Linked DNA regions of Arabidopsis thaliana. The main gene of each other region encodes a partner of the protein of the gene in region 4 in a complex. Each region holds a gene or a part of one and is shown on either strand. Other genes may lie near its edges.

The links.
Region 1: CDC2 (region 4) and RBR1 share a complex: the UniProt entries of both Arabidopsis thaliana proteins name them as parts of the DREAM-like complex.
Region 2: CDC2 (region 4) and MYB3R-3 share a complex: the UniProt entries of both Arabidopsis thaliana proteins name them as parts of the DREAM-like complex.
Region 3: CDC2 (region 4) and ATE2F2 share a complex: the UniProt entries of both Arabidopsis thaliana proteins name them as parts of the DREAM-like complex.

Annotation. Positions count from the first base shown.
Region 1 is NC_003074.8:3,913,321-3,921,047, reverse strand, and holds RBR1 (retinoblastoma-related 1), read left to right. Parts: upstream 1-1,688; 5' UTR 1,689-2,160; intron 2,161-2,600; 5' UTR 2,601-2,614; coding exon 2,615-2,698; intron 2,699-2,813; coding exon 2,814-2,918; intron 2,919-3,004; coding exon 3,005-3,147; intron 3,148-3,226; coding exon 3,227-3,323; intron 3,324-3,409; coding exon 3,410-3,456; intron 3,457-3,723; coding exon 3,724-3,916; intron 3,917-4,047; coding exon 4,048-4,114; intron 4,115-4,200; coding exon 4,201-4,380; intron 4,381-4,480; coding exon 4,481-5,536; intron 5,537-5,631; coding exon 5,632-5,794; intron 5,795-5,892; coding exon 5,893-5,965; intron 5,966-6,086; coding exon 6,087-6,263; intron 6,264-6,356; coding exon 6,357-6,476; intron 6,477-6,558; coding exon 6,559-6,691; intron 6,692-6,783; coding exon 6,784-6,896; intron 6,897-7,004; coding exon 7,005-7,120; intron 7,121-7,202; coding exon 7,203-7,377; 3' UTR 7,378-7,699; downstream 7,700-7,727. Other genes in the region: AT3G12290 (Amino acid dehydrogenase family protein), read right to left, coding at 61-273, 381-538, 712-895, 1,344-1,457. UniProt on the Arabidopsis thaliana protein: Key regulator of entry into cell division. Acts as a transcription repressor of E2F target genes, whose activity is required for progress from the G1 to the S phase of the cell cycle.
Region 2 is NC_003074.8:2,877,449-2,882,892, reverse strand, and holds MYB3R-3 (myb domain protein 3r-3), read right to left. Parts: upstream 3,541-5,444; 5' UTR 3,360-3,540; coding exon of another isoform or gene 3,318-3,359; 5' UTR 3,076-3,317; coding exon 2,834-3,075; intron 2,722-2,833; coding exon 2,670-2,721; intron 2,573-2,669; coding exon 2,515-2,572; intron 2,227-2,514; coding exon 2,132-2,226; intron 2,049-2,131; coding exon 1,945-2,048; intron 1,869-1,944; coding exon 1,740-1,868; intron 1,642-1,739; coding exon 765-1,641; 3' UTR 538-764; downstream 1-537. Other genes in the region: AT3G09360 (Cyclin/Brf1-like TBP-binding protein), read right to left, coding at 4,461-4,703, 4,791-4,844, 5,050-5,139, 5,270-5,398. UniProt on the Arabidopsis thaliana protein: Transcription factor that binds 5'-AACGG-3' motifs in gene promoters. Transcription repressor that regulates organ growth.
Region 3 is NC_003070.9:17,632,745-17,638,348, forward strand, and holds ATE2F2 (winged-helix DNA-binding transcription factor family protein), read left to right. Parts: upstream 1-1,952; 5' UTR 1,953-2,192; coding exon 2,193-2,426; intron 2,427-2,687; coding exon 2,688-2,874; intron 2,875-2,985; coding exon 2,986-3,045; intron 3,046-3,129; coding exon 3,130-3,215; intron 3,216-3,414; coding exon 3,415-3,503; intron 3,504-3,591; coding exon 3,592-3,646; intron 3,647-3,814; coding exon 3,815-3,867; intron 3,868-3,959; coding exon 3,960-4,010; intron 4,011-4,089; coding exon 4,090-4,138; intron 4,139-4,218; coding exon 4,219-4,284; intron 4,285-4,370; coding exon 4,371-4,441; intron 4,442-4,531; coding exon 4,532-4,646; intron 4,647-4,738; coding exon 4,739-4,813; 3' UTR 4,814-5,065; downstream 5,066-5,604. UniProt on the Arabidopsis thaliana protein: Involved in transcriptional repression. May act by repressing E2F-regulated genes in mature differentiated cells, but is not an antagonist of E2FA.
Region 4 is NC_003074.8:18,069,936-18,075,180, reverse strand, and holds CDC2 (cell division control 2), read right to left. Parts: upstream 3,728-5,245; 5' UTR 3,510-3,727; intron 2,995-3,509; 5' UTR 2,944-2,994; coding exon 2,935-2,943; intron 2,862-2,934; coding exon 2,677-2,861; intron 2,593-2,676; coding exon 2,472-2,592; intron 2,377-2,471; coding exon 2,203-2,376; intron 1,947-2,202; coding exon 1,783-1,946; intron 1,585-1,782; coding exon 1,497-1,584; intron 1,395-1,496; coding exon 1,341-1,394; intron 975-1,340; coding exon 885-974; 3' UTR 540-884; downstream 1-539. UniProt on the Arabidopsis thaliana protein: Involved in the control of the cell cycle. Essential for both G1/S and G2/M (mitosis) phase transitions. Functions in cell morphogenesis as well as cell proliferation.

The DNA.
Region 1 (7,727 bases), about 14 Mb from region 4:
GATCTACAAGAGGTAGACTAAATTATCTTCTAAATGACAATGAAAATGTATGAAAATCACCATGTGGGCTTGTCCGCATGCAGCAATAACAATGTCAGCTTCCCGTATGATAGCCTCAGGATCCTTGGTGTGAGAATGTACAGTTGTGACAGTAGCATCAGCCTTGAGCAAAAGAAGTGAAACGGGCAAACCAACAATGTTACTCCGACCTACAACAACTGCTCGTTGCCCCTTTATCTTTACGCCGCTTCTAGCTAGGAGTTCCAAACATCCCTGCACACACAGAAAATCACCTCATAGTTGATACAGAAGAAAAACAGAACACTGAGATTTCTCGCTTGAAAGAGACTGAAGTCTATATGCAAAAAAAGGAGAAGTACCTTTGGGGTGCAAGGAAGGAAGAGGGGTTCTCTGCCTTTCATGGCTAGCTTACCAATATTCAAAGGATGGAAGCCATCGACATCTTTATCAATGCTGATTGCACCCAATATATGCTCCTCATTAATATGTTTCGGCAATGGGAGTTGAACTAATATGCCTGCAAATCAAACACCAAAGCTTATATAAGCACAGGAGAGCAAGGAATGTTTGCTTTATACCAAAACGAAAGACTTGCATAGACATTAAAGTTTCTATCTATCCTTAATAGTTTAGACTAATGATAACCGAGAAGACATACAAAATCAAGTATTATTTACCGCCACAACTAACCATGGACATCCGGATTTGAATTTAGTTCATGAACTTTGCTAATAAGATCAGCTTCAGAAACTTCCTCTGGTAGGCCCACGTCAAATGACTTAATCCCAACCTCAGCGCACGCTTTCCTCTTCGTATTCACATAGGTCTGTGAATCCTTTCGGCTCCCAACAATAACTACAGCTAGTCCTGGGACCTGCATGAAGGTAAAATCAGATTCGATTGAATCTCGTACATTCTTGAAACTATATAAAGGGGTCCAACTGAAGCAACTGAACAAACGCACTAAACCATTTATTACACATACTCTCGTTCCTTCTATTTTATTACAATGATATCAAACATTATAAGCTTAGCACACACTATCTGTATAAATAAGATAGTATGCCACTTGAAGTAATGCAGGCAGCTCAAAAATCCAGCGAAACAAAATAACAGTGATCTAACTAAAATGGAGCTTACATTTGACCCTGTTAAGCATTTTCAATAGAAGGTTGTGATCATAGCTGCTTAAATCTAGTCATTTTAAACCATAAAGCTAAAAGAGAGTAAATTTTCAATAGTGCTATCATCTTATAAAAGAACGGAGAATTATAAGGAGAGACATGTCAAGATTAGGACACTGATTCATAAGATGCGTTTACCTTGCCGTGTTTCTCAGATAGACCGCGAACTTCCTCGGCGATCTCTGATCTGATGGTATGAGCAATCGCCTTGCCGTCGATTATCTTCGCCGTGTGATCAGATGATGACGCCATGAGCCACTAGGAATTTGCCTCGTGTCGGAAATATCTAATTCTCTCTCTGGATCCACTCACACTCGAAGATGACGAAGAAGACTTAATCTGAATCCATCCGCGGATAGGACACTCATACTTCTGCAACCAAACGTTCTACAATGGCAAATATGTAATTTCCCGCGTGACCTAAACTAGAAACGGCATCGTATTAAGGGTGGGCCCAATCATAACTCACACGAGGCTTTGTCGCGGTCACGAAAACCCAGACGGCGTTAATGGCCCACTCCGTTTGTTTCGACCCCGCCGTGACGGCGAATCTTTCCCTCTCAGCGTTTCACGCAACAGTAAGTAAGTTTTGGCGGTAAAATTGGGTCACAGATGGGTACGTGTCGATTTAATAGTGGTTGAAAGCGCGCGAATATAATTGTATACGTATGTGTATGTATTCTCCGTGTTGTTTTTCCCGCGCGAGATATATCCTTTTTTAGGGTTTGCCGCATAATCAGACCCCATTCTAGAGAGAGAAGAGGGAAGTCAGGTGAAGATAGAGAGAGACACTGAGAGGAGGGAAAATTTGTAGGGTTTTCGGAGATCTCTGTGATTCCTCTGAATTTGTCGAATTTTTTGGAGGAGGCGTTAGAAGTCGGGCTTCTTAAAAATCAGATCTTCTGCTCAGGCTTTAATCGGCGACGTCTGGTATTGGGATCTGTGACACAAAAAGGTAAGATCTTTCTCTATTGCCTATCCTTTGATTTGAAATCTTATCCTCTAGGTGGTTTATCTGAAATTTTCTATTGATATTTCGCTATTCGATTGTAAGTTGGTGAGAGAATTCTCCAAAAACAAAAAAGAGAAAAACTTTGAATGAATATTTAAGATAACATCTGGGTAAAATTTTTCCGGAGTGGTGGGTTTTAGATTATGCCCCAATTTCTCTTCTTTTTTTCCCCCAAATTTTGTCTTTCTGCCATGTTTTGGGAAATTGGGAGTTTGTTTTCTCATGTCTGTTAGTGTGTTCTTCCGAATGGGTTGGGCATGGTTCCTATTGAATTTCAGTGTGATTAAATTAACAAATCTCTTTGCTTGAAAAGTCCCTTTTTCTTCGTCTTCAGTTAGCAGTTTAATTGGAAGTAAAATTAGCTTGATTTTGCATGTTTTCAGCTGCGTTGGAGACTATGGAAGAAGTTCAGCCTCCAGTGACCCCGCCCATTGAACCAAATGGGAAAAGAAGCGAAGCCTCTCTCTTGGACATATGCGAGGTTTACTCTTCTCTTTGCTGATCTAGTTGCATTTGTTTAGTTGAAGATACCATTTGAGTTCTCTCGGAAATTTTGAGGACTAGCTCTAATCCCTGTAGTTGATTTCTTATTGCAGAAAGTTCTGTCTCTTGATGGGAGCACTTGCGATGAAGCTTTGAAGTTGTTTACAGAAACCAAACGAATTTTGTCAGCAAGCATGTCTAACATTGGAAGTGGAACGGTGAAATACATTTTTCCTCTAACTTCTCTTTTATCAGTTAACTGTGGTTTCATTATGACTAAATCCTTTTTTCTTCTTCTTATTAGCGGGAAGAAGTAGAGAGGTTCTGGTTTGCGTTTATTCTCTATTCAGTGAAGAGGCTTAGTGTGAGAAAAGAAGCGGATGGTCTGTCAGTGTCTGGTGATAATGAGTTTAATCTATGTCAGATACTGAGGGCTCTGAAGCTAAAGTAAGTAGTGTTCAATTCTTCCTTCCTTGTCATTCTTAAATTCATTTGTAGTGACGATTTTCCTCTTTTCTGTTTATAGTATTGTGGATTTTTTTAAAGAGTTACCTCAGTTTGTGGTCAAGGCTGGATCTGTACTGGGTGAACTTTACGGCGCAGACTGGGAGAACAGACTTCAGGTTTTGACTAACATCTTTTAAATATACTTCTACTTCTATTATATCATTGTTAAATATGCTTCTATTAACTAATTTTTACTTACTAGGCAAAGGAGGTGCAGGCTAACTTTGTGCATCTTAGCCTTCTAAGCAAGTGAGTTTAGCTCCCTTCCTATTTTACATTTATCTTTGTTTTGTGTAAGAATAGTTATTGACATAGATTTCATATTTTGGACCTGCAACTTAGAAGCAAATTTTCTTCCTATGCAATAATCAGAATATGGGCTTGCAATATTCCTTCAATTTTAAATTAATTAAGATTTAGAGTTACAGATTTCTGGTTTTCATGTGATTATATTCTGTGAATTGTTTTAAGGACATGTTAAAGTATGATGTTTTTGGTACCTTTCCTTGGTAACAGATACTACAAACGTGGGTTCCGGGAATTCTTTTTGACATATGATGCAAACGCAGAAAAGAACTCAGCAAACTCTTCTACCTATTTGCTGGATAGTTATCGTTTTGGATGGCTACTCTTTTTGGCACTCCGAAACCATGCGTTTAGTCGATTTAAGGACCTCGTGACATGCTCAAATGGCGTAGTTTCTATATTGGTTAGTGACTACCTGTGGAGCTCTCCCTAATCTTTCATTCATTTTAGTCTTGCTGTACATTATTACTTGAAAGATGCTTCGTTTAATATAACGCAATTGAAGTATAGGCTAACTCCTTTTCATGTTATCAGGCTATTTTGATCATACATGTTCCTTGTCGGTTTAGAAATTTCAGCATCCAAGATTCTTCTCGCTTTGGTGAGTGTTTATCTTTTCTTCTATCCCGATAACCATGGCACCATAGAATGTTTATCATCTATTTTCATTTATGTGATGAATCTCAGTTAAGAAAGGTGACAAAGGTGTAGACTTGGTTGCATCACTTTGCAAGATATATGACGCCTCAGAAGATGAGTTGAGGATAGTAATTGACAAGGCAAATAATTTGGTAGAAACCATACTGAAGAAAAAGCCATCTCCAGCATCTGAGTGCCAAACTGACAAGCTAGATAATATTGACCCAGGTTGGTCTAAAATCATTTTCCTTCTTCAATTAAAGAATCATGTGAGTTCATTGAACAGTTGCCTGATTGTTCTTCGAATCTATATGGTGTTTTACTGCAGATGGCTTGACCTACTTTGAGGATTTACTGGAAGAGACGTCCATCTCAACTAGCTTAATTACACTTGAAAAGGATTACTATGATGGTAAAGGCGAACTTGATGAGAGGGTATTCATCAATGAAGAGGATAGCTTACTTGGATCTGGAAGCTTATCTGCAGGAGCTGTTAATATTACTGGTGTTAAGAGGAAAATTGATGCTTTGAGCTCACCTGCAAGGACATTTATAAGCCCACTTTCTCCTCATAAGTCGCCTGCTGCTAAGACAAATGGTATTAGCGGTGCTACCAAGTTGGCAGCAACACCAGTGAGCACAGCAATGACAACTGCCAAGTGGCTCAGGACTGTCATATCCCCGCTTCTGCCAAAACCTTCTCCTGGGTTGGAACATTTCCTTAAATCATGTGATAGGGATATAACAAATGACGTCACACGAAGAGCACACATAATATTGGAAGCTATTTTCCCAAATAGTTCCCTTGGTGCCCAATGTGGAGGTGGAAGTTTGCAAGCTGTTGACCTGATGGATGACATATGGGCAGAGCAGCGCAGATTAGAAGCTTGTAAGTTATACTACAGAGTTCTTGAGGCAATGTGTAAAGCAGAAGCTCAGATTTTGCATGCAAATAATCTGAACTCTTTATTGACAAATGAGAGGTTCCATAGATGCATGCTTGCTTGCTCAGCTGAATTGGTACTGGCTACCCACAAAACAATTACAATGTTGTTCCCAGCTGTTCTGGAGAGGACTGGGATCACAGCCTTTGATCTCAGCAAGGTAATTGAGAGTTTCATACGACATGAAGATTCTCTGCCTAGAGAGTTGAGACGACATCTGAATTCACTGGAGGAACGGCTTCTAGAGAGTATGGTATGGGAGAAAGGCTCTTCAATGTACAATTCTCTGATTGTTGCCAGGCCATCGCTTGCATTGGAGATAAATCAGCTCGGTTTACTAGCTGAACCAATGCCATCTCTGGATGCAATCGCAGCACTTATTAATTTCTCTGACGGAGCAAATCATGCATCATCTGTACAAAAGCATGAAACTTGTCCAGGTAGTTTTATTTGTTTCTGAATTAAAGCAGTTTTCCAACCTGTTGTTAATGGTATGATTTTCTTACCAAAAATTGTCAAATTTGCTGCCATATAGGACAAAATGGGGGGATTAGATCGCCCAAAAGATTATGTACTGATTACCGCAGCATTCTAGTTGAACGCAATTCCTTTACATCACCAGTAAAGGATCGTCTGTTGGCCTTAGGCAACGTTAAATCCAAGATGCTGCCACCTCCGTTGCAGTCTGCATTTGCCAGGTACATTTTGAGTAACTATGAGTAGAAATGGAGAGTTAGTTTACCTATCTAGTTGTCCCTGTACTTGTTAAGTAACCTCTTCGGATTTATGTCTACAGCCCAACACGGCCCAACCCAGGAGGTGGAGGAGAAACTTGTGCAGAAACTGGAATCAATATTTTCTTCACAAAGGTAGGTCTGTGAGATCTTTGGATCTACTACTAATCGTTTGGTTAGATGATGTACTACAAAACACGGTATTGATTCTTCATTTTCGGCTGGGAATTGTGTTAAATGTGGTGGCTCTTCCCAGATTAATAAATTGGCTGCTGTAAGAATCAATGGAATGGTGGAAAGACTACAACTTTCACAGCAAATAAGGGAGAGTGTGTATTGTTTCTTCCAACATGTACTTGCTCAGCGGACTTCTCTTTTATTCAGTCGACACATTGACCAGATCATTCTCTGTTGCTTCTACGGAGTGGCCAAGGTGAGTAGTGTGATTCAAAGGGTTTAACTATATGTCATCTGGTTTACAATGGCTTCTCTTACACTTACACTTTTTCCATGAATCACCTTGTAGATATCCCAAATGAGCCTGACTTTCAGGGAAATCATATACAACTACCGGAAGCAACCACAGTGTAAACCATTAGTTTTCCGCAGCGTTTATGTGGATGCGTTACAATGTCGCCGTCAAGGGGTATATATACACTCTTAACCTTATGCTGAAAAGTTTCTTTACTCGGTGGAGAAGACTAAATTTGTGACAATGACTTGAACAGAGAATAGGGCCAGATCATGTTGACATCATCACATTCTACAATGAAATATTTATTCCTGCCGTAAAGCCGCTGCTGGTGGAGCTAGGTCCTGTAAGAAACGACCGGGCTGTGGAAGCCAATAATAAGCCTGAAGGTAGTTAAGAAAGGCCAGATACTTGTTAGATGTAAGCTTTGTCTATCAATTTAGTCCCTAAGTTAAATGATCGTCTTATTTTGGATTCACAGGTCAATGTCCCGGATCGCCAAAGGTGTCTGTGTTTCCAAGTGTTCCAGACATGTCCCCTAAAAAAGTATCTGCAGTGCACAATGTTTATGTTTCTCCTCTTCGGGGATCAAAGGTAAAGAAGATCATAGTGCTTAACTCTTTATCATGATATGACTAAGTCTTGAGGAGGAGGTAGGTGACAAGATTGTTTGGTTACCTTCCATGTGTTGTGTGTTTGCAGATGGATGCTCTTATTTCACACAGTACAAAGAGTTACTATGCTTGTGTTGGAGAGAGTACACATGCTTACCAGAGCCCTTCAAAGGACCTATCTGCCATCAACAACCGCTTGAACAAGTAAGTAGAAAAATCACGTCTCTCATCAGCTTCTTCCATAAAACCAATCACTGACCCAATCCAATTTCATCTGGTGTCACAGCAGCAGCAGCAACCGCAAGAGGACGCTAAACTTTGACGCAGAAGCAGGGATGGTCAGCGATTCCATGGTAGCAAATAGCCTTAACCTCCAAAACCAAAATCAAAACCAAAATGGAAGCGATGCATCGTCCTCAGGTGGTGCCGCACCCCTTAAAACCGAGCCAACAGATTCATAGATATCTCTCTCTACTTGCTACACCAACTTCTCTTCAGTTATAGCATCTGTAAATCCTTATGTTGCAGAGTTTGCTTTTATGTTTAGCTTTCTAGTTTATAGTGATCACCTCAGGCTATGAGCGGATGGATCCCTTTATTGTTTCTTTTTTCTTTTTTTATCTTAGTTAAGTCAGTCTTAATAAGCATTAATAAATGTCTTTTTCTTGTTCACTCTTTCTAACTGTGTTCGGTGTCCCATCTACTAAATTTATTTTCCACTTTAAAAAAAAACAATTTGTGACATTTACTTAACTTGGAACATATACAGTACAGTTAAGCAATTAACTATAACCAACAAATTGTCTGAACA
Region 2 (5,444 bases), about 15 Mb from region 4:
AAGCTGTTATCTTCTGCAACACAAAACGAAAAGTGGACTATATTAGTGAGAAAATGAGGAGCAGCAACTTCACTGTCTCATCAATGCATGGGGACATGCCTCAGAAGGAGAGAGACGAGATCATGAATCAGTTTCGGACAGGTGAAAGTCGCGTTTTGATCACAACAGATATGTTTGCACGTGGGATTGATGTGGATCAAGTTTCTCTTGTCATCAATTATGATCTCCCTAACAACCGTGAGCTCTACATTCATCGTATTGGACGGTCTGGTCGTTTCGGACGTAAGGGTGTTGCAATCAACTTTGTTAAAATCGACGAGATCAAGATTCTCCGGGACATTGAGCAGTACTACAGTACTCAGATTGACGAGTTGCCAAAGAATATAGCTGATTTGATCTAAAACACTTTTGTCAATGTGAAACTATCTTATGATTTGTAAATTACCTACCCGTTTGAATAATGACATCATAAAGTCTATTTAGAAAAAAATTCAAAGCAGAGTGATATTGTTCACATCGGTGAACGAATGATTCAATGTTCAAATAATCAAAGACGCATATCAATCAAATAATCAAGAACATGCACCAATTTCTATGGCCCACTACTGAAGATCTTTTTTTTGTTATGGAAAAAAAAAACCTAGCTCAACTATGAGGTGTAAATTATTCTTTGGACTAAATACATCTAACATCTCTAACATTAACCCAAAAATAAAAATATAACCAATGAAACAACATTCAGCGTGTAATCATCTAGTCACTGTTTAGCCTAGGAGTTGAGAATCTCCATCAATCAACATATCTTTCTCAGATGATTTGGTTTCATCATCAGCTTTCTCTTCCTCTCTAGATATAAACTCAAGCTGTCTTGATTTGAAAACTGCTGTCCTTTTCGATCTTATCCGATATGGAGGAGATAGATTGTAAGCATTTGATCCATTATTTTGAATCTCTGAACTATCCTTACCATCATTCACCTTTTGATCAACCTCTTTAGCTTCATCTGTTTTCTTGGCGTTGTTGTTATCCTGAACAACAACCCTGGGTCGTCTTTTCCTGAATATGGATGGTGTGTTTGGGTAAGTTCTACCAGCTTCTCTCAGGTAAGATTCAGGACTTCTTGGAGTCGAACCGTTACTGTGCACATTCCTACACGGCGGTGGAGTGAAGAAGCTAACTGGTGATGCGCTTGGACTGCAACCACATTCATTCCCATACATACGCTGCGTATCCACTTCTGACGCCCTGTAATAGTCTATTTGAGGCGTGTAGTACAGATGATAACCATTATTTGCAGCTCCACCATTCTCTGGCAATGGCTCTGGGTTAGGCAACTGAGGAGAACGAGCATACTCATTAAGACTAGTCATTCGTGAAGCAGCTACTACTTCTTCGACAGGAACAGATGAGTTTATTTGGCCATTTCCGTCTTCAGCGAGATTGTTTACATCTGTAGTTACTGATGAGGTTTGAGCAACTGAACCAAAAACCCTTTTCTGAGCAGACGATGAACGTTTGGTTACACTATCAGGAACACCATTCCTTGTTGTTGTTGGTGGTGGTAACCTACCAGTCAATAAGTAGAATTCTGACTTCTTTTTCAATGAACTATTCCAATGGTTCTTTATTGCATTATCAGTCCTGCAGCAAGTTTTAAGTAAAACCTTCATTAAACCCAGAAGCTAACCCTTCTCTAAAGTCTCAACTCCAATGACGCATGCCAAGAAAAGTAAAAATACCTGCCGGGTAAGACCTTAGCAATTTCAGCCCATTTGTTTCCGTGGCTTCGATGAGCATTCATGAGAGCTACTTCTTCCTCTGTGGTCCAAGCATCCTTGTTAATATCAGGATTCAAATGGTTATGCCACCTGCATACATATCAAAACACATTAAAGCTTCCAATATAACTATAAGAAAAATGCTTGGCTCATATGAATTAACTACCTCTCTCGGCATTGCTTCCCAATTCGACCTGGTAAAGACTGTGCGATAATAGACCATTTCGCAGGCCCGTATTTTTCAACCAGTTCAACGATTTTCTCATCCTCCTGCAAAACAACAAACTTTAAGCCTTCGTATTTCACATAAAAAATGAAGCCAAATAATAAATAAAATCAGAAACAGAATCAACCTCATGTGTCCAAGGTCCCTTAATAAGGTCTGGATTTAGAACTTTCTGCCACCGATGCAGGCATTGAACTTCAGTTCTATCAGGGAAAGATTTCGCTGCAAAAATGAATACACCAATTCAAACAATACTAAATGCTTCACGGAACAAAACGGAAACAAACGTAAAAGAAAGTCTTTCTACTAGATGCTCAGCCTCAGATGATCAAGTTAACATACAAGAGTAACTCATAAAACTACAGAGACAAGAGTATGGAACTAATAGTTACTGTAAGCAAGTAGGCTCCAACTTTAATATTCGAACCACAAATCTATGGAGTATGTTGTAGCACTGACATTACTCTTGTTAATATGAGAACTAGAATCTAAAAAGAAGAAGAGACTTACCTATGTTCTTCCAGCTCTTGCCTTTAAACGTGTCAACTGCTTGTCTCAATGTCTCATCCTGCATTAAGTAAAACAACTCACATCTTGAATTTCGAACTACTGATCCAAAATTGATATTGGTCAAAAGCAATCACTAGTCAATACTCAATACTAACCTCTTCCGGAGTCCACCCACCTTTGGCTCGCCTTATAGGGCCACTCGTCCTCCTGCATACCAAACACTATCAACATCAATCTCTTGTAGAAAAGATGCAAATTCGCAAACGAGTGCTGCGGAGGAGATACAAAACAAGGAAGAAGAAGAAGGAGACGAACTAACCCGAGGTACCTATGAGTAGGTGATACTGTGGCAGGACTTGCAATTGTAGGTGACTTGTGGGAACTACCAGCACTGCCTTCAGATACAGAAGAGCACGAAGCAGGTGTTGATTGCTTATTTTCTACACACTGATCCTCAATTTTCACTTCACCTGTTTCTTCCTGAAGATCCATCATCTCAATGAAAGAAAAAAAAGATCCAGACTTTGATAAGAAACAGAGAAACCCTAAAAAAGCAATCATCGTAAAACACAAAGCAGACAGAACCCAGATCTCACAAATCACGAATTCAGTAAACAGCTCAACATTAACACCAACCACAGCAAAATTAGGGTTTATAACAATTGTAATCACAAAAATTTATAGTTTCAATAAAGTTAAATTCGTTTCGAATCAGAGCCAAACAACAAAGAACTCAATTTCACTAGAATCTGATCACAAGAACAAAACCCTTAAAAATTCAGATTCGATACACAAAAACTAACCTCATCTGGAGAAGAAGCGGCTGGATTAAAAGTGGAGCTCATCGAGATAGATAGATACACGAATTCACCAGCAGAAGAAGAAGAAAGAAGGCGAAAGGAACGTTAAAAAAAAAACCAAAACTTTATTCGAAAAATACTTTGCCCGTTGAACCAGAGAGAGAGGGATAGAGAGAGAAAGAGAAGACTTGATCGAAACAAAGCGAGAAAATAAAACATAAAAAAGGGTTCCCTAAGTTTTATCTCTCTCTCTCTCACTATTATAACGAATACTTCTTCTGCTGACGTCACACCGTTACTTGCCGTTCTTTTTACCTTAAGTAACCTATTTTCTCCAAACCGAACTGATATTTATCCATAAGCACGAGTTGAATGTAATGCAATCTAATTCTGGTTAAAGCTGGTTCAGTAAAATAGACCAATTTAACGCCGTCGTTATCTTTTGGAAAGTGGAAAAGTCGTCAAGGTTAGAAGGTACACTAACGGACGTTAACGGTAGAGAGTTAACCTCAGAAACAGAAGTTTGAACCTCAAACGGCACTCGTAGCTGATCCGTTGACCACTGAACACGTATACGATGCCAAGCTTTGCAGGTGACTCTGGACCGTCGGATTTGGTTTGAGATGAACTTTATGATTCTTCTTAAATACTATCCTGTAAAACCAAGCTAGATGTAAGATCATCCGGACCGACACATTTTGTTTAAAATTGAATTTTCTGGTATTTGATTTTGGGAATTTTCATAAAAAGTCATCACTTTTGTTTCAGTTATATCTTTATAGAAAAATAAATTTAAAATACATTTAGCTCATCAAATAGGTGAGATAAGTTCAGTGATTGTTAGTTGTTATCTGATAGAAATTAGAATTATCATAAACAAGGAAAATAAAATTATCAAAATTAAATACATATAGATTTTATTAAATTAATTAAGTTAGTGGTTTTTCATTTCTTAGTCAGTACCACTTGAATTGTAAAAATAAATAGATCATTTGTGTGAACTTTTTTTTCTTTTAAATCTTAAATATTTGTTACTGATAATAAAGAATAAATTTAGTTGGGGTTCTCCTATATTAATGCAAATAAAATCAACTAATCCGGCAAAACAAAAGAAATTAAAACTCTTGTGTTTCACAATACATATCATCAATACAATCCAAAATCATTACCATCCTCTTCTTCTTCCTCGTCCTCTTCATAGAATTTCTCGCCGTTTTGAAAATCTGTCTTCATGTCGTATGATTCTACATTGCCTTCTTCTTCATCCTCTTCATCTTCATCTTCATTTTCACCATTCTCATGTTCATTACTCTTCATTTCCTTGTTCTCTTCCTTCTTCTTCTCAATGTCTGTCTCTGTTTTCGACCTCTTGGGTGATTTCTCAGGTGCCTGAAAGAAGAAAAGAGAAGCAAAATTGTAAAGACCTCAAAAAGTGATGAGAATTGAGGATACAAGAAGAGGTAATCAAAAACTTACGGATGTATCAAATAGCGACTCCAAAACATCGTAGTTGATCACCGAACTAAGTCTCTGTAAGAGTCAACACTCAAAATCAGGAAAAAGGAAGAAACACAGACTCTAAAGTTTCTTCAATGCTAATAATTTCGACAGCCATGTTGTTGACTATGTACTTCCAGGCCAGGTTTTTAACAGATGATACATGGCATACTCGGTTTATCTTTTTTTGCATATTCGTTTTCAAGTATCAAGGTATCAAAGAAGCTGACATTCTAACCTTTTTATCAAGCGTTCGGCGTACCGCCTCCACTGCTGTGGCTGGAGGAGCCGCGTTCTTTGCTTCCTCAGCTTTTTTTTGTTGCTTTTCCTATATGAAGAGAGAGAAAAAAGAATCAGAAATTGATTGAGAAACCATATGTCATCAATGGGTATCATGTTATTCTCCAAAAGTCAGATGCTTGATCAGGAACATAATTTCAAAGTTCAAACTGAGTCACCTTTCTAGATTTTGCCGCATCAGCTTTGGCAGCTTCGAAAGCCTTTCTTGCATCTTCTGGGCAATTAGAGTTGCTAGCTTTTAAAGCTTCACTAGCCGCCTTCAGAGCTGCTTCCTTAGCAGCTTGCTCCTACAAAACAACATAATTTTGTATGTGATTTGATCTCCTAGGTGAT
Region 3 (5,604 bases), on a different chromosome or scaffold from region 4:
GACAACTATTTAAAACAAAAATTTGTTTAACAAACTAAAATACAATTGCAATCCTGTAAAATATTTATTTTAATTATTTATTTAAATTAGCGGTGTACGTCTTTTTTTTTTATAGGACAGGTTTGGCGAGACGGGTTTGGAAGAACGTTACTTAATAAGAATTATAAAATATAAAATAAAAATATTTTATAGATAGATATAATTTTCAAACTTTTATATATACTAATTTTAAAAAAAAAAATCTTCATGGTGTACTACGGGTTAAAATCTAATAGTTGTAGAAAACTCTTAAGCCTAAGGAAGTTAATTACCTAAATGGTAGGAGTTATAATAAAAATAACTTCTTACCAAAAAAACAACGTTAGATAACTTGTAAGATCACTTTTAGAGGCTATAAATTCCTCCTCACCTTTTCTTTTGTATAAAAGTAGAAAAAAGGAACCAAAGTAAACAAATAAAAATGCTATCGACTATTGTAAATTCTTTTTTAGTGTTTCCATATTTTTTTCATTTTTTATTTACTGTTTTTTTCTTACTGCACCATGACAAGTGAAGTAGATTTCGCGTTAGTGCACTTGAAATTTAGGACAACAAAAATGCAACTAGACAAACTTTTTCTGTATGAATATCTAGACGAACTTACATTTATATGGATAATCTTGTTTTGTTTGTTTGTCACAGTTAAACTAAAATATAATATAATTTTTCTGATCCATGGCTACAATAAATTTTAAAAATGTGGATAATATGTCTTCACAAATATTTTTCTAAATAAAATACTCTTTCTTTTTTTTGGCTAAAAAGTTGTCACATGCCATAGGGACGAAAATGTGTGTTTTACATTGTTTGGTACACCAATGTTTCAGTCTCTCAGATCTAAACTAATGGAAATTACGTTGATTTAAGCCATCATGATATCATGAAGGGATTTTTTCTCGTCATATTTGTCCAGTTTTACGAAAACAAGTTAAGGTATCAAACTTATGCGATACGAAAACTCTTTGAAATAACTCAATTATATTTACATTCCTTTAATATGTTTTGTTTATTCAAAATCATGATTAATTAATTCAGTATTTTGAATTCCTATTTTTGTTACATGATGCAATTGGTAATAATACAATGAAAAAAAAAACAGTCCCTTGTGTAGCGCTATACACCAAGTTTGTGTGTTTGTCGTCAATGCACCCATCGCTTCCTTATAACCTAATATAGGTTTTGATTGGTAACCACTTTACAAAACGGTACTAAGCGTTACAAAGTTTTACTCTTAGTTTATTGTACAGCTTAATACCTGTAGTAGAGTTAACAACTTTTGGTTACCAATCAGACCCATAAACATATATTAAGATAGACAAAAAAACATATATACATATATAGTACGACTTCATAAAAGATGGTATAATTTTCACATAATTTGATATTAATTAGATATCACTTACTCAAGTACTCAACTATGCAGAAGCACTCTTCATTCTTCAATTGTTTTTATGAAAATATTAAAGAAAAAAAGCTAGAAAAATGATACCAGAGAAACAAAATGAATCATGGGTTTAGAAATTCATTCTAATTTCTACCTTTTGGCAAAGACCATGAACTCTAAACTACTTTTTGGTATGATAACTGGACCAAATTTGGGCCGTTCATAGAGTTTATTGGTGCAGATGGACCTCGGAGATTAGGACTCCCCTGTAAACTCAATCTAGCAATGCCGAGACTCCGTATTTATAGATTCGTGAACCATGAATGTCGATCATTAACATAAAGCTACAAAGTATGAAGCTCTAGAAGATATGTAAACGTCGTAACATTATTAAGCCCAATTCAAGCCCAAGACCAAGCCCAAGACCAAGCCCAACAAATAGTCAAAAGAGTAAAATAATAAGCGGAAGAAGTTAGGCGGGGCTTAGGCAGAATTCGAAACTCTCTCCAACTTCTTTCGCCCACCGCTCTTTTAACATAATTCCAATATTTCTTTCTTATATTAATCTTTTTAATACAACAAAAAGACACTTTTACCCTTCCTCTTCTTCCCGCTGTTTCCTCTCTTCTCTCTCCATCTTTTTCTCCATCTTCCCTCTTCTCCTTCTTCATCTTCCCCCACAAAAACCTAAATCACGATTCTCCAAAATCGCTTCAAAAAATCACTCTAAATCCCATCTTCTCTACCACCGGAGATACACCGCCGTTACATGGCCGCGACATCAAACTCAGGCGAAGATCCGACTCTCTCTTACCATCACCGATCTCCTTTTCGCTTCGAATTACTTCAATCTATCTCTTCCTCTGATCCTCGTTACTCTTCTCTAACTCCTTCTTCAACGAATCGACCTTTCTCAGTCTCTCAATCGCTTCCGAATTCACAACTGTCTCCTCTAATTTCACCTCACTGGGACGATTCTTACTCTCAAATCACTCAGAAAGTTGTGAGTCTCTTCGTTTACTCAAGTCCTCGTAGATTCCTTCTTTGATTTTGATTCCATTTCCGAACTTGATTTTGCGATAGCTAGGTTTAATTCTGATTCCCAAATTTCGCGAAAACAAAAATTGAATGAAGTTTGGTTTCATTAAGGGAAACTTAATCCAAAATTGGATCTCTAGCTTTCAATTCTCTAATCTCAATTTGCGAATTTAGATTCGTTTTGGTGATTGTAATGCTATTGAGTTGATCTTTTCTTAATTTGCAGCAGAAGAGTAGAAAGAATCATCGAATTCAGCTTGGATCTATTGCCAACATGTCTGGAGGAGAAAGCATAGATATAGCTAAAGTAATAGTGAAACAAGAGTCGTCTCCTCAAAATGTTAAACGTGTATACAACAAGTCAAAGGGTGGTACTAAACTGTTAAAGGCTGGGAAACGAATGGCGAATGGCGGTATCTGCTTTTTCTGATCAATCTCTTTGGCTAGCTCTTAGAATGTGATATGTATTGAAAATAAGAATCTGTTTGTATTCAGCATTGTTGTGAATGAGTTTTTTTGTGCAGAAGTGCAAAATGGTGGCTTAAATGGAGCTAGTATTAACTGCCGTTATGACAGTTCTTTAGGTAACTAATAGTTCTGTTTACTAAGGTTCATGTTTGTATGGAGATAACAACTGTAATTGTATCGGTGTCTCTTTTGTTTGATAGGGTTGTTGACAAAAAAATTCGTGAAGTTGATCCAGGAAGCTGAGGATGGAACACTTGACCTTAACTATTGTGCAGTTGTTTTGGAGGTATGCTAAATGTATCTTAATATTTAAGTTAAAAATGTATGTCTCAACTCGTAGAAGATCTAATTAAGAACGTGGACTAAAAAGATCACTCACCTTTATAACCCTTGCCTTAACTGTTTGATATCTCCCTAGTTATCTTCATCAGCTTGTTAGGATCTCCTCTTATGTGCTTACGTGTTCCTGCGATCCCTCTTAACAGGTACAAAAAAGAAGGATATATGATATTACAAATGTCCTTGAAGGAATTGGATTGATAGAGAAAACTACAAAGAATCATATCCGCTGGAAGTAAGTACACAAATTTTTTCTTTCTTGGATACATTGCAGCGTATATAGCTTGAGTTCGTCTGACTTTGTGTATGCGCTATTGATGCAGGGGTGCTGACAATCTTGGACAAAAGGACCTGGGAGATCAAATTTCTAGGCTTAAGGTTCATTGTGACAAGCATTTTCACGTGTTTTCTTTGTCGTAGAACTTACTGCTATGCAAATAATCTGTCAAATTCATGATTTCATTATTTTTCTGTCTTATAGTTTATTTCACACAGTTATTTTCAAATTCCCCATTACTGACCGGTTACATATCTACGTATTTTCAGTCAGAAGTAGAGAGTATGCAATCTGAGGAAAGCAGGTTGGATGATCTTATAAGGTTGGTTGCTTGTGTTCTTATATTATGTTTGGAGACTTATCCATTGTTCCTTTCCCACATGGTTTGAAGATCATCATGTTATGTATCTCCAGGGAACGACAAGAAGCTCTCAGATCCTTGGAGGAAGATGACTACTGTAGAAGGTATTCGTCAGTTTATTTGAGTTTCATCTTTTTGTATATACACGAGAGTGTTGCTAAGATCAATGATGGAAATAAACAGGTACATGTTTATGACGGAGGAAGATATAACGAGTCTCCCACGGTTTCAGGTCCTCCCCAACTAGTTCTTGAAAATCATCTTATGTTTTCCTCAGTTATTTAACATACTAAACTGGTAGTCCTTATACAGAACCAGACATTACTAGCAATTAAAGCTCCTACAGCTAGTTACATCGAAGTTCCAGATCCTGATGAGGTGAGCGTTTTTAATGCTTTCATATTTGCTGTACAGTTGTAATATAATGTGTCACAAAGTAAAGCATCTGTTTTTGTTCACGATAGATGAGTTTTCCGCAACAGTACCGGATGGTGATTAGGAGTAGAATGGGGCCGATTGATGTCTATCTTTTAAGGTACTTAGTTACACATTCCACTCTCTGTGTCTGGTCTTATCTATATATTTGTCAGTCAGTGTTAATAACTGGGAACAAACATGATCGCAGCAAATACAAAGGAGACAGTGCGGAAACAAGCGACAAGTTGGGTAATGAGTCTGATCAAAAAGCTCCAGTTGGAGTAGACACTCCTTCCTTGAAAATAGTAACTTCAGATACTGATGTAAGTATTTAGATCCACTGATATGGGTTTTGGGATCAGTCTCGCATTTCGTATGTTGCGATTAAGTTGAATTTTTGGTTGTGTATTGCCAGTTAAAAGCAGATTACTGGTTCGAGTCAGATGCAGAGGTGAGCCTCACAGATTTATGGAGCAACTTCAACAGCTGAGAAACAAAGTTGTTTGAAACCTCAAATTCCCAATTACTAGGATGAGGATGAATTTTCTGTTACATTTTACTACCCCTTTTGAGCCTGAAATCCTAATAGATTTTTTTCCTTATAAAAATAAAAGATGCAATATTTTAAGGTCATTCAAGGGATGTGGCAATTATGTGAAAAAACTTGTACTCTAATTAGATATATAATTATACTTAATGGCCTTTTGCATGTCAATGCATACATCTGTTTTTGTAACATGTGTTTATAATGAACTTTGAAATTAATCTTTTTGACACTTTGGGTCCATAGGTTACAATTTGCATGTTCAAACAGAAACAAAGCATCATTTACGAACCACCTGATTTGGACAATATCAAACGTTACTTCTGTCAGAATCATGTCAAAAAACGAATGGTTCCAAATTGAAAACTAGTTAATCTCTCATCTTGTTACATTTAGTTTCAAAGCTCGAAGTCTTGAACGCTAGTAGAGAAAAATATCTTGTGGAAAAGAAGTATCAACTTTACAAAGCTTGATGTCATTCATGAGTTAGATCATATCATGTTTGATGTCATTCATGAGTTAATCATGACCACATTGGACATTGATATCTTGGTGGATCCCTAAATATGGTGCTTGTTTGGATCCCAAGCAATACTTTTCGTTAAATGGCATAACTCTTGCCTAGAAGTAACTGCCTAAAACAGTAAAACGTACCCTAAAAAAAAAGGAATGCCTTTCAGAGGATAATTTTCCTAATATACATTGTTGGATATAATTCTGCTATATAAACTCACCCA
Region 4 (5,245 bases):
TTATGTTATAATATTCACTAAGGAAAGTTTATATACGAAATTTTAAAACGTAAAAAGTATAAATGCACTTTGATAATCATACATATATTCATGAATAAATAGATCGGTCTATTTTACACGAGGCTATGCTTTTTTGAGTTTTTCAGACACTTAAGTTTATGCCTCCCATTGGACTTGATTTTCAGAATGGAAGCGTCTTTGCTTAGTGAATAGATTGAAACCACTGCTAACTAACACTGAAATGGTTATCAGGTACCTTCATTTAGTTTCGAATTAGATTATTGACATTTGATCTACTTCGAATTTCGACCAACTGTAAAATGTAATCCAAACTATCGAATACGTGTTGAATTGTTCTTCTCGTCAATTTATTTGTCAGCTTTTTCTGGTCAACTTTGGTCTCATTAATGATTGGCTACTTGGACCCTCTTGTCTCATTAAAAACGGTGCACCCTTTATAAATAGGAAATTAAGATCGACGGACCATATATACTAGTTATCAAATGACGTCGTAACTCGTAAATAAGTACTAATGAAATCGAAAAAAGTGATGTTTTTTGGGATATATTTCAAAAGATCACTATCAAGGCACAATCAAGAAGCTGAGAAGTTGCATAATATGGTCATTTTGCAAAACAAAAACCATATTTCATATAGGGAAATACTATATTCTGGGTAAAATAAGATACAAGAAACTGATCTCAAAAGCTTAGAAGTAAAAAAAAACACACTCGAAATCTTCTTCTTTCTTTTTTTTCGTAATAGAATATAAGTAGGAAACGAACTCAGAAAAAGAATAAACAAAACCCATTAATATTGTTCTTCATTTTCTTAGGATTGATAATTATATATAGAATGAAGGAGATTACTGGTTTTATGCCTTTCTAAGGCATGCCTCCAAGATCCTTGAAGTATTCATGCTCCAGGGCGGCTCTTGCGTTGATTCTTTTGGTCGGATCCATTAACAGCATTTTCTGAAACAAATCAAGCAGAGAGATATATTATCATCTTTGCTTTCACAGGAGCTCAAAATCTTAGATTTCTATCCAGATGTCTGGTTTGGTTAGGAATTTCAAGAATCCTGGTTTTTGAAGATTGTTCATATTTCAAACAAGTTTGGTTTTGGCTTCATGTGGTTTTGAAACTATGAAGCCTAATCGAATTGGTTTTAGTACGCCGGCTCTTGATGACTTTATAAGACATCTAAAACCTCAAATGGTTAAAAGGTTTTTAGTAAGAAACATGAGACCAGATCCATCACAATCAAGCATACAGGTCTCTAATAGCAGAAGTAGTGTGTCTATATATGTGTGTGTATATATCTAGCTCAGTGAACTTACAGAAAGGAGATCGACTCCATCGGGATCTAGATTGGGGACAAAAGTTTCTAGGTCCTGTGGTATAAGAAAAAAAAACAAGGGCAAGAATTAATATATGTTGTGAACTCTTGACTACTGAAGACAAGATGTACAAGCGAATAAAGACATTTGAAGTACCGTTGGTTTCCATTTAGGGAAAGCAGATTTATAATCCGGTAGAGAAGTTACCCCACGCCATGTATCCTCGTACGGAGTTCCCATGATTCTAGAAGAAGACAACAAAACAAGGCAGTAACAGATTTATAATCAGTTAACAATTCAATTTCTGTGTCCTTTACTACTTCTCCAAAATGTGATATCAAGTTGAAAATGTTTCCACAATCCCTTGTGATATCATTGCAGACAAGTCTTTGCACTTGTAATATATAGAGGAATATTGGACTGGGGAAGTTAGCAATTAAACCTGAAAATCTTGAAGAGTTGATCAATCTCGGAGTCTCCAGGAAATAAGGGCTTTTGGCTGATCATCTCAGCAAATATGCACCCCACAGACCAAATATCAACAGGTGTAGAGTAATGATGAGATCCTAGGAGTATCTCTGGTGCTCGGTACCAGAGAGTAACAACCTAAAGGAACAATATGCAAAAATTGTGTGAATAACCAGGAAGAGATCTGAAATCTGGATGTAGCATTGAAATATTTTACAGTATCTTGAACTAGCTTACTTCAACCGTCTATGTGAAATGGCTTAGTCCTTTTCATCACATTTATCAGACACATAAGTGGTATAATACTTAATTTACATTACACTCATAAGGAATGCAGCCAGCCAAAAGATTTCATAACGGGAACATATGAACAAGGAATAAAGCTCTTTGGTACCTCATGAGTAAATGTCCTGACAGGGATACCGAATGCTCTGGCCAGTCCAAAATCAGCAAGCTTCAGTGAGTTTGTGCGGCGATCAATCAACAAATTCTGTGGCTTCAGATCACGATGGAGAACCCTATGAGAGTGGCAATACGCAATTCCACGGAGAATCTGGTAAAGATATGTCTGAAAATAGTGGATGAACAGCTCTGATCAGCTTATATTGAGTATTGAGTTTAAGCACATATATAAAACAATGCCTAAAGTTTCTTAGCACTCACTTTGATCATATGTAGATCCTTGGAGAAATCAGGAGTAGAATCCATGTGCTTTTTGAGATCCAAGTCAAGATACTCAAAAACCAGATACAAACGTTTCTCGCTGTGCACCACATCCTGCAATCTGTGTAGCAAAAAACATCAATCAAAATTGTTTACCAGAGTCATCATGCTGAATCAGTTTTCAACAATGGTATTAACATCATACTTGACAATGTTGCTGTGCTGCATTTCTTTCAAGAGGGAGATTTCTCTGATTGCTGTGCTAGGAACACCTTCATCCTCCTGCTCTAGCCTGATCTTCTTCAAAGCAATTGTCTCATTAGTCACTTTGTCACGTGCCTTATAAACCACACCGTAAGTTCCTTCACCAATCTTCTCAACTTTCTCGTACTGCATTAATAAGAGCACATTAACAGAGACTCTCGTCAAAAGAGTAAGAACTGAAACAACTATTTACACCAACCTGATCCATCAATTCCTGAATAATAAAGCTGAAGTAAACTCCACACTTATAAAATGTCACCTGTAGATTGATAATGACACATCGATAATAACACATCAGAGGCTATATTAATTAAGCTGTATATCAGCACACAACAATCTCAAAATTAAAGTCAAATCTACACAAAGACGCAAAGAAACAAATCAATCTCAGATCCGAGCTACTGTGGATTTGATTCTTTGGACAGAATTATGAAAATGAACAATCAAACAAGCCAGCTGAATCCAGAGCAGCGAACTCATATATTATCAAATCCATAGAAACATAGAGCTAAAGCGAACAATCATAAACACTGATGACAAAATGCACACAAGCAAAACCAGTCTAAATCTAGTGAAACACTAAGAAACGCCACTGAAAATGCAAAACGGAGGAAAACAAGTAGAGATCAGCGACGAAGCAGTAAGATAATTGAAGATGGAGAAAAGATAAAGCGTTTGATGAATTGACAACAAAGTTCAAGTCAGAATTTCGCACGGAAAACAAGTTCCTCCTCCGGAAAAGAAATTGATCGGAGAGTAACGAAATCAACTTACCGGCGACGATCGGATGTAGTGTCAGTGAGACTAGCACACCGACGGATCCTCTCTCTTCTCTGTGGTAAAAAGGCAGTAGAGAGAGAAGGGTGGTGGTTTTCTGTGAAAAGCTTGAAGAGAGGAGGACTAGGGAAGGGGATTGACTAATTGAGAGTAAGGGTTTTTTCTTTCTTCTTTTTTTTTTTTTGTGTCAAGGAAATTTTGTTCGTTATTTTTTTTTTCTCTTCTTTAATTTCCAATAAATTGAATTTACCTAACCGCATTAATTTGGTACAATTTTATTTATTATACCGGGTTTGATTGGTATTCAATGATAAAAAAATATATCTTTTATGATGAAAATGGTTTGCTATCTTATAAAATGGTATATGAACCAAAAAAAAATCATTGCAGACCAATTATAAATCAAGAGTTTTGGTTTTACATTGGATTGTTGTCTATCTCAACGATCCATTTGACAAGCAAAATTGTATGTCCGGTTTGCTGTAACCATTTAGAATCTAAGTTAGAAAAAGACGTTTTAGATCATAAAAATGAAAATGGAGAAACATATGTATCCTGTAAGTCTTTGGAGGACCAACCAAAATATAAATGGGCAATAATATGAAAGTTGTTTTAATTAAAAAATATGTCAGTAAACAACTCAACATTTAATGTAAATAATAAAGTCTGGCACCTTGGACCAACACAAAGATAAATGATCAATAATATGAAAATCATATGTTAAATGTTGAGTTAAGAGACGAGTCTTATTCATGTGGATCTTCATCAATGCTGATTTTAGTATCTAAATTTAGTCTTTAGCAGTTATATTTATATAATAATATATATAGTATAACGTTCAATATAACCGATTTTACAAAAAAAAAAATACTTCCCAAAATCCTCGTTTATTTCGCACTTGCTCACATAAAATTTCCAAATACTTTTTTTATAAACAAACCAAAATTAATACTTGCAAGAATAACGTGAGTAGAACGAGAAAAAATAAACTATTCAATAAATCACCCTGATATTCTGATACTTTATGAAAGAAAAAAAAAAAACTCAAAATTTTGTAACTAATTAAAGAACACAAAACTTTTCTACGATATATATATCTTCAAAACTTTTATCCCAAGAGTTCAAAAATATTAAACATAAGCCGATCTCGTGATCAATTTTTTAAGTTATTCTCTGAACAAGCAACTGCCATATATTAACATTTTTAAGTAATCAAATATATATAATTGGTGAGAATTGATTTATTTTCAGATATTTCTCACATTTGTATATTTTGGGAGATTAGATATATAAAGTTTTTTCTGATAAAAGAGCTATACGGTTATCAGTTGTAAGTAAGGGAATTGGCAAAACTAACCAACAAAAAGTTTATAATTAAGAAACTAACATCAAAAGGAAAAAGAACTGATATCCTCTATATTTTGTATATTAATTCCAAGTTTACCCCTTTATCTATTTTTCTCCATTTCTCTTTCCGTCTACCTCTCTCTTCCCTTCTATCTTCCCTCCCTCTTTCTCTCTCTCCCCCTCTCTCTTTCTCTCTCTTTCTTTTTCCCTCTCCCTCTCTCTTTCTCCCAGTAAAGTCTTTACACCTACCTCGTTACTTGTTTTTGTTTTCAAATCAGAGTCTCTTAATTACTTTTGGGTGAGATTTGATTTGGGGGTTTCGAATTACAGAGGGAGGAACACAATTTGGATTCAGGGAATCGACTTTCGTTGTTGCGCTTGGTGTC